Linked DNA regions of Danio rerio. The protein of the gene in region 1 purifies or fractionates together with the protein of each later gene. This does not show direct contact. Links are inferred from orthologs where the notes say so. Each region holds a gene or a part of one and is shown on either strand. Other genes may lie near its edges.

The links.
Region 2: the proteins of map4k5 (region 1) and crkl purify together in Homo sapiens (affinity purification with western blotting; 3 studies listed by BioGRID and IntAct, with this or other methods). This does not show direct contact. The link is inferred for Danio rerio from reciprocal best matches to the Homo sapiens genes MAP4K5 and CRKL.

The regions. Positions count from the first base shown.
Region 1 is NC_133188.1:40,182,466-40,186,293, forward strand, and holds part of map4k5 (mitogen-activated protein kinase kinase kinase kinase 5), read right to left. Parts: intron 1,422-3,828; coding exon 1,342-1,421; intron 1,255-1,341; coding exon 1,194-1,254; intron 1,033-1,193; exon of another isoform or gene 774-1,032; coding exon 656-773; intron 1-655. UniProt on the Homo sapiens protein: May play a role in the response to environmental stress. Appears to act upstream of the JUN N-terminal pathway.
Region 2 is NC_133196.1:20,316,036-20,320,305, reverse strand, and holds the start of crkl (crk-like protein), read right to left. Parts: upstream 3,049-4,270; 5' UTR 2,764-3,048; coding exon 2,453-2,763; intron 249-2,452; coding exon 1-248. UniProt on the Homo sapiens protein: May mediate the transduction of intracellular signals.

The DNA.
Region 1 (3,828 bases):
CAAAAGTTAATTGGCATTACTGAAATAGAACTGTAAGACAGATTGCTTTAGAACAGTGGTGTCAAACATACAGCCCACAGGCCGGATCAGGCCCACAAATGAGTTTAATCTGGCCTACGAGATGATTCTGCAAAGTATAAAAATAAGCTGCAATTTTTCAATAAAAGTAACTGCAGTTCCAATTGTGTCCACTGGACGGCGCATTTACAAACTGTTAATTTCATCCAATCCAGAAGCATCAGTTTGACAGCCTTCTCAGAGAGAAAGACCACATCTATGCTCTGCCATACCACACTGTGATGTTCTCACGAGGAAACATAACTATTTCACATTTTGTCAGTTTAGTGGCTAATTTGTACAAGTTTAGTCGTATGAAAATGTAAGATACAAAAAAGGAGGCATGGCACCCACACCCCTAAACCCAGCCGTCATTGGTGGATAAGCAAATCATACTAAAATAAAACAAAAATATTTTTTAAATCCAATCAAAATTAAGCATGTTTTGACCCTCATTTGTAAGTGCAGTATTAAACATTTTCTTCTAAATAGTTGTTTCTTGAAGAAATCTTACAACATTTATAGCATTTATTACTTTTATAATACTACTAAAATCCAAATAAACGAGTTGTAAAAAGTGTGTTGTGAGTGTGTGTACCTGGGCAGTATCTTGTCAGGGAATCTGTGGGTGTGAAACTGAGTGGCCAGTCCAGGTTTCCTGAGCTGTTCAAACAGTCCAATCAAATTATGCGAATACAACTGAAACGTCTTCCCTTTAAACGAGAGATAACACACATTACACGCACGGCAAATGACCACACACAGGACATCCTACACATTACACAACTTGTGACGCTTGTGCTGAAGAAAATGGGAAACAACAGTCATTACACCCTGCACGAAGACAAGCTCAGCTGTGTAGTTACGCAAGTTGAACCCAAATTAGAATCAGAGTAAGAATGTTGCCAGAAAGGTGATGTGATGTTAGCTGTGTGCATGTGTGCCGTACAGGACAGAGGGTTGCCTTTTTACCTTCTGATTATGGTGATTTAGGCATTAGCAGAGCCAGCAAAGCAGTAAAATCAACCGTGAACACAGAGAGACAGAGAGAAAGACAGAAGAGGACCATGAAGCAACCGTAGAGAATCTCATTAACAAAGACAGAAAGAAGAGCCTCTCCCGTTATTCTCACTCACCTGATAATGACATCAGATTATTATTGATTATGTACAGCCATGTGCACCGTCGAGGAAACAGCTAAAAAAGATCAATGTAGTAGGTTAAGAGTACTTTTGGTGCATTGATCTATTTGTGGTGGAGGGTAAACGTGAAAACAAATCATACCTGCTCCATGGTGGCTTCATGCAGCTCGTTCAGGTTGAGAGTGTAGATGCCATCTTCTGTGCCAAATATCAGATACTGGTCTAAAAAAAAAAAAAGTTGAATTTGAAATGATGCTTTGACATTTAATTTTACACCATTCATAAATCTGTGGTCAGTATAAGGCAATGTTCTCACTGCAAGTGCTCAAATCTGATTTTTTCTCAGATCTGATTTTTTTTTTTTTGCATAGCTGTTAACACTGTTGTTATAGACAGGGTTCATACACATTATTACTACTAAAATTACAAGACTTTTCTAGAACTTTCAAGTACATATTCATAACGTAATGTTTCATGTAATGTCTACACATACATGAAAAATAATAAGAAAAACAATGATGTTCAAATGTATTACAGCATATCATAGAACAAGCAACAATCTATTTTCTTTCAATTTGTTTTTATATCTATGTAAAACTTATTTTGATAATGCTTACACAGCACTAACAATGTGAGAGCAAGTTTTTGGCCAAGGACTGAAAATAAGTAAAGACAACTAACCTATAATTAAGTTAGGGCTGCATAATATATTGTTTCAGCATCGATATCGCAATGTGTGCATCCGCAATAGTCACATCGCAGGATATGCAATGTTGAGACTATAGTTTAATCATAATGGATTAAAAGTTTGTCATCTGCATGCATTTTTAAAGACATAGTTCATCCAAAATCTACTTACCATTTTCATTACACCCTTCCTTACAAGCATTTATGAGTTTTCTTTTTTTTAACGAACACAAAAAGAATATAATTTAATAACTCCTATAGTATTGAAACAAGTAAAGTGTAAGTAAATAGTGAGCACATTTTAATCTTTGAGTAAACTGTCCCTTTAAGGCCTGTGACTGTGTGAACATTTCAATATTTCAAGTTTTAAACCATCCGGCCACAAGACATTTTTTGTAACTTTGATAAAGATTAAATAATATACAATGAAGAATATGCAGTGTTGATTATTCAACATCTGTACCTGAATAGCGACTACCTGAAAACCATAATTCACTTTTATCTTTACTATATTTGATTGATCTATGTTTGTAATTTATTTGTTATTTATTATTCGAGATTCACTCCTCTACAAAATCCCCCCAATCAATCCAAATGAACCTGTTAAATCATCTGGCGAAATTGTATTCCCATCGCAATATACATCACAGAAATACAACATATTTTAATGTCAGATCTTTCCAATATCGTGCAGCCAAGTAAACAGATATTTGTTGAACTAATCTTCATGACTTTTCAAAAACTTTGTGGGTTTTTCTGCTTTTCCAAAACTTTTCACGGCCTGGAAAATGCCATGTCAAAATTCCATGACTTTTCCAGGTTTTCTATGATCGTATGAACCCTGTATAAATGTGACCAATATCAGATTTGAAGTGTGTACAGATCATGGTTCTAAACTGACCCGCATGCGCAAAAGTACAGTTAAAGACACCACAAAATGTCTAAATATGCACAGGATGTACTGAATAAAGCATGCTGTCAGATTATGCTTAATATGATCATTGCCCTTTTCACAGACAACCGAGGTTCATTTCATGAACTGTAAAGGGTTTTTCTGCAACTACTACTGTGTATTTCGGCGTTTGAATCCTAAAATAAGTCAATTGCGATAGAAAACACTGATCATTATGACATATGACAACCGCAGTGCACGTCTTTCTGACCACCAGTGTAGAGAACTCATTAAGGGTTAATGAGCAGCAGCAGACTGAACTGTGAAGGCAGAGTTGGTTTAACTCTGTTTGCAGAGTTATTTCATTTTACTTTGTTATAAACTACAGTTGCGTACAGAAAGGGGGTTTGGGTGCTTTTTTCTCTCTGAGAGAAAGTTCATCCTCAAAGGGCACCTAAGGTGAAAAATCTACTTTTCAAGCTGTCTGGACAGACATATGTGTAGATATAGTGTATAGACTGTCATATTGGGGTGATATAAACACACACAGTCCTTTTTTTCCATTTAACAAAATAAAAATGGTGGACCAATTGGAGCGGTTTTGAGCCCGACCGCAACTTGACATAGTAGTGCGGTCCCCCCTGCCCACCGAATTGATTGACAGCTGCGTATTAACATGTCTCCATAGTAACGAGTATAATCATATCAACAAGACAGGACGTGCGTAAAGCAACCGGGAATAAAAGGTCTCTTCAGTTTACTAGGATCATCAATCATCATCACATGTGATCGAGAATGAGTTTTACAAGGTTAGAATGTTTTAAAACAGTTTACGTGTGTAATGAAGTACAGCAAATTACTTCAGATTTACTTTATCACCACAGCCGCGTGTGAGTACAATTCTAAAAGAAGACGCTTAAATCCCGGATTGTGGACATTGAATCAGGTTAATTTTTCACATTAACATAAGCAGCCGAGGGAGGAGATTAAGGCACACTGACAGGCACATGGAAACGGTGGGTGTGAAGGACTAGCCTTAAAGTCACAGTT
Region 2 (4,270 bases), on another chromosome or scaffold:
GCGAAGATCTCACAAGCTTTTCTACATAGGGAACAGGAATCATGCCTGTTCGGCCTTCTTTGTTCTTGGCACTCCACCACTGCTCCTCAGGCTTGTCCATAATTATTAGGATTTCACCCTTCTTGAAAGGAAGGTCTTCAGCATCGCTGCCAGTGAAGTCATAAAGAGTCCGCACATACTCCTGGTTCTCATCACCCAGTCCTCCAGATGGCTGAATAGGACCACTGGGCAGAGCAGTACTGGGGTACCTGTAGAACAACAATCAAATCATATTTAGGATCGACTTATAAACTAGAAAAGCAGCATTTAAGAGCCCATCTAAAAGCAAACACTTTAATCAGCTTCTCGCTAGTGGAGGCCTTTTGTAATATTTAATCATCTACTCGATGTGCACTTTCACATGCAGAGTAACTTCCTGTTATCTTAAAGGGAAATAACTTAATTTTTCTTTACTGCACATCTCAAAAAGAACATTTTATAAAGAACCAGAACAAAATTGAGGGGAACTACAGATGTTTAATTCATTACTCTCATTGTAAGAGTAATACTAAACAGCCACCAAACCTATGGCAAGCAGTTTTAACAGTTATAGCTTACACTTAGTGAATCAATTTATGCTAATGATTAATTCTGGGCCGATAAACTGTATTATATCGAGTCGCGAAAATTTATATCAATGATAAGCTCTGAAATTTTTTACTTGATATTGACCTAATTACACAGCAGAAATGTGCAACAATGGGTATCTAAAAGTGTGTTGGTATTGGAGATGCACCCAATGTTCGGCCACCAAAAATTTATCGGCCAAACATATATTATGCCATTTAATGGTCCCTCTAATTTTTGTGACTTCAGTCATTGTTGGCATACACTTTTACATCTGGAAGCATTAACAACTTGCATCGAAATATGAGCAATTTCAGCATTATAGATATAACATTTACAAAAACTCAAAACATAAATTCACAGAAAAAAGTATATTTTAACAATCAAAAACAACTAACCACCAAGTTAAGGGATCTAAAAAATATCAATCTGTAAACATTTTTCATACTTTAAATGAGGAAAATAAACATGCGTTATGGATATGACCAAAAAAGTCTGCAAGTTACAGTATACAGCATACTTTGAAGAAATTATGTGAATTAAAACAGCAAAACTCAAATGAAATAATGCTAATTAAAAGGATGAGAGTTGGCTCTCTATAGAACAAAAAAAATCTTGATTTTATTTTACATTTTTGTATTTATTGAAAAAAAAAGTTAAGTTAGTTATGGATGTGACGTCTCTCTGCTATGGATGTGACGGATGTAAAATTGCTACTTGTGCGACTTTGATAAATTAAATATAATTGATTTTTCAGTCCAGTAAAATACAAGCCTACACACACACACACACACACACACACACACACACACACACACACACACAAAAAAAGAATTTAGCTATTTTGGTAAAAAACATAAAAAAAATTCATAGCAAGGTTGACATTTGCATGGAATTGCTCATATTGTCAATATGGAAAATAATTATTGAGATTGCATTTTTGCCAACTAATGATACTTTTTGTCTAGCAAGTAAGCCAAAACTAATCAATACTTTTACATTACTATCAACTTATAAAGACTTGCAGATGACGTCCATTTTTGACAGATGTACAAAGTTTCCAAATGATTCATTCATTACAATCATAAGTTGTAATATTTAGCAAAATAATATTTAATCATAACTAAGCCGAATCTCTGTCAAATTATCTCTGATAATACGTTTTAATTACAACATCAAAATATAAAAAATTCTGCTTTATAATTGAATTGGCTATACAAAAAAACATGATTTTAATGGACTAGTAGAGTCAAATTTTTAGAGGACAGTCACTAAGAAAATTATGCTAGTAACAAACTGCTGTCTTTCCAGTTTTACTAGTTGTAACTAGCAATATTTATCTTGTAACAACTTTTTTTTACTTGCCACTTTGTGAAAAAAAAATTATTATGATAGCTCAAAAATAACCTTACTAGCAGACCACAGTAGTCAGACCACAATAAAACCATGCAATGTGTTACTTATTAGCTAAAATATAAATGCCAGTGTCAAATTAAAAGTAAAACTGAAAGCATTTCCAGAAACATCCAAAAAGCTTCAACTTGCAAAGATTTGAAATTTAGTTTCCGTTGCAATTACAGGTTACTTACACAATACACTACTGGGTATTGGAGTATTGTTGCAACAGAAAACGTACAAAATAGATGAGTAATAACTGGTAACTAATGCAACTTAAAAATATAGTCTAGCAAGTAACGATGACAAAAATGAGTCAATAAAAACAGATCCTGGTTACTTCGAATGTTTAAACGGCTTGCCACAGAAGAGAAGGGGAGGGAAAAGAACATTATTGAGAAGAGGGGTGGATGATGTGACGATGTCAAAAGTAAATGAAAAAAACTCTTACCTTGGTGCTGGTTCTATCAGGGTGGTCGTATCCAAATAATGTATTTTATAGAACTCCAAAAGGCCGGGTAGATTATCAAACTCTTGATCGCCTATCTTGAATCTCTTGCTTGGCAAAGAGTTGATGATATAGTGCGAAACTTTGGAGTTTTCGGACACTGAAAGTACATAATCACCAGGACAAGTGGACGAATCTCGCACTAAAAACATCCCGTGTCTCTGTCCCTGTAGCCTATTCTGCGCCTCCTGTCTCGAAACCGGCCCGAAATACCAGCTGGCTCGGTCTGAGGAGTCGAACCGTGCAGACGACATGTTTATTCGAAATACACTTGTAACTGACGAACACGGGTGAAAAAAAGCAAAACGAGCAATAAATTAAAACAACAAATGCTTATTCTTACAAGCGACCTAGCACTTCTAGACCCGTCAGTCCTACTGAACCGCAACCTGACGTTTGACCAGACAGGCTGCGACTAGCGTCAACCAACTTTGATGCATTGCTAAATTTTCCACCAACACAAGATTCGCGGCGGTTTTAGGAGAGGTGTAAATAACCCCAAAAGTTCAGAGCGAGCTCAAATACACGTATTTGGAATCAAAGTTCCCCTTTCCGCTCTCTCTTCCGTGAAAGTAGCTGCAGCTTATGAGACAATATAACGCGTTAGCTGAGCTAGCCGTCTTCAGTCACCGTCCGCTCAAGAGGAGCCAAACAGCGCCATAATATGTTACTAAATCGCTCAGCATGACAATTCAAGCCGACGTACGTCAGTTGCTTCCAAAAACGAGTTCTTCTTTGCGTTCTGCCCCAAAGCACGAAAGAGTTGTGTCTCTAATTTTGACTCCAAGCAGACTTAGAGAGCTGTAACAAAAATGGCGGCCCGCAACACGTCTTCACAAACAACGAATTGTGAAAAATCTAGAAACATAAAGTTTCCCGCCTTGCACGGCGCTCTTTTTTCTGACGCGCGCGTCTTTCACGCTACAGTACGAGCGAGAAGACCTTTCTTAAAAATTCTGTTTTCTATGTCCTCCTTTCCTTCTCGGGATTGGTGTAAAGGCTGCTTCAGCTCCCCACACCGTCCGAGAAATGGCGTCTGGAGGGCGGATCTGCGCGCGCTCACGGTCTGTCTGATCGCCCGTCACGAACGCCCCGAGCGCCTGTTACTTAAAAGGAAGAATGAAATGAGTGGCGTTCAGAGGGGCTGCATTTCAAACTCTCTGAACCGCGATAATGAGACACACAGGGCACTGACAGAGCCTAGCGTGAGTAAAAGCTTTAAAGTGCTGTATTTTTGCTTACATTTTGGAAGGCAAGCTTGGATCACATCCTATCTGGATACCTGTTGTTTACACGGGGAGTTATATATATTAGCTTCACATGTTCAACTTTTTGATAAATTTATGATATGTTGGTGCCTAATGAATTTAAACATTTATCGGTGGAAGAAACTGAAGAAAATGTGCACAAGCCGAATTTACTTTTCTAAATCAGTAAAACATTAAAGTTAAATTGCATTTTTTTTGTGTAAATTCAGTTAATAATTGAGGGTATTCATTCTACATCTCATTTTACTCATTCTAGCTACACCAGAATGTATTTAGTTGCAGTATAACCTATAGACCTTTTTAAATATAGAATTAAAAAAAGACCACCAACAACTATAATGGCAAAGTATTAGGACAACAGCAGCCTGCGTTTAAACATTGTTTGTATAAGAAATCCTTTGTACCCATTTCAGTGGGTTTATTTAACAAGAGTTTATCTTAATTAGCATTGTAATATTAAAACTACTGTATTTTGCATTATTTTTATTGTTTG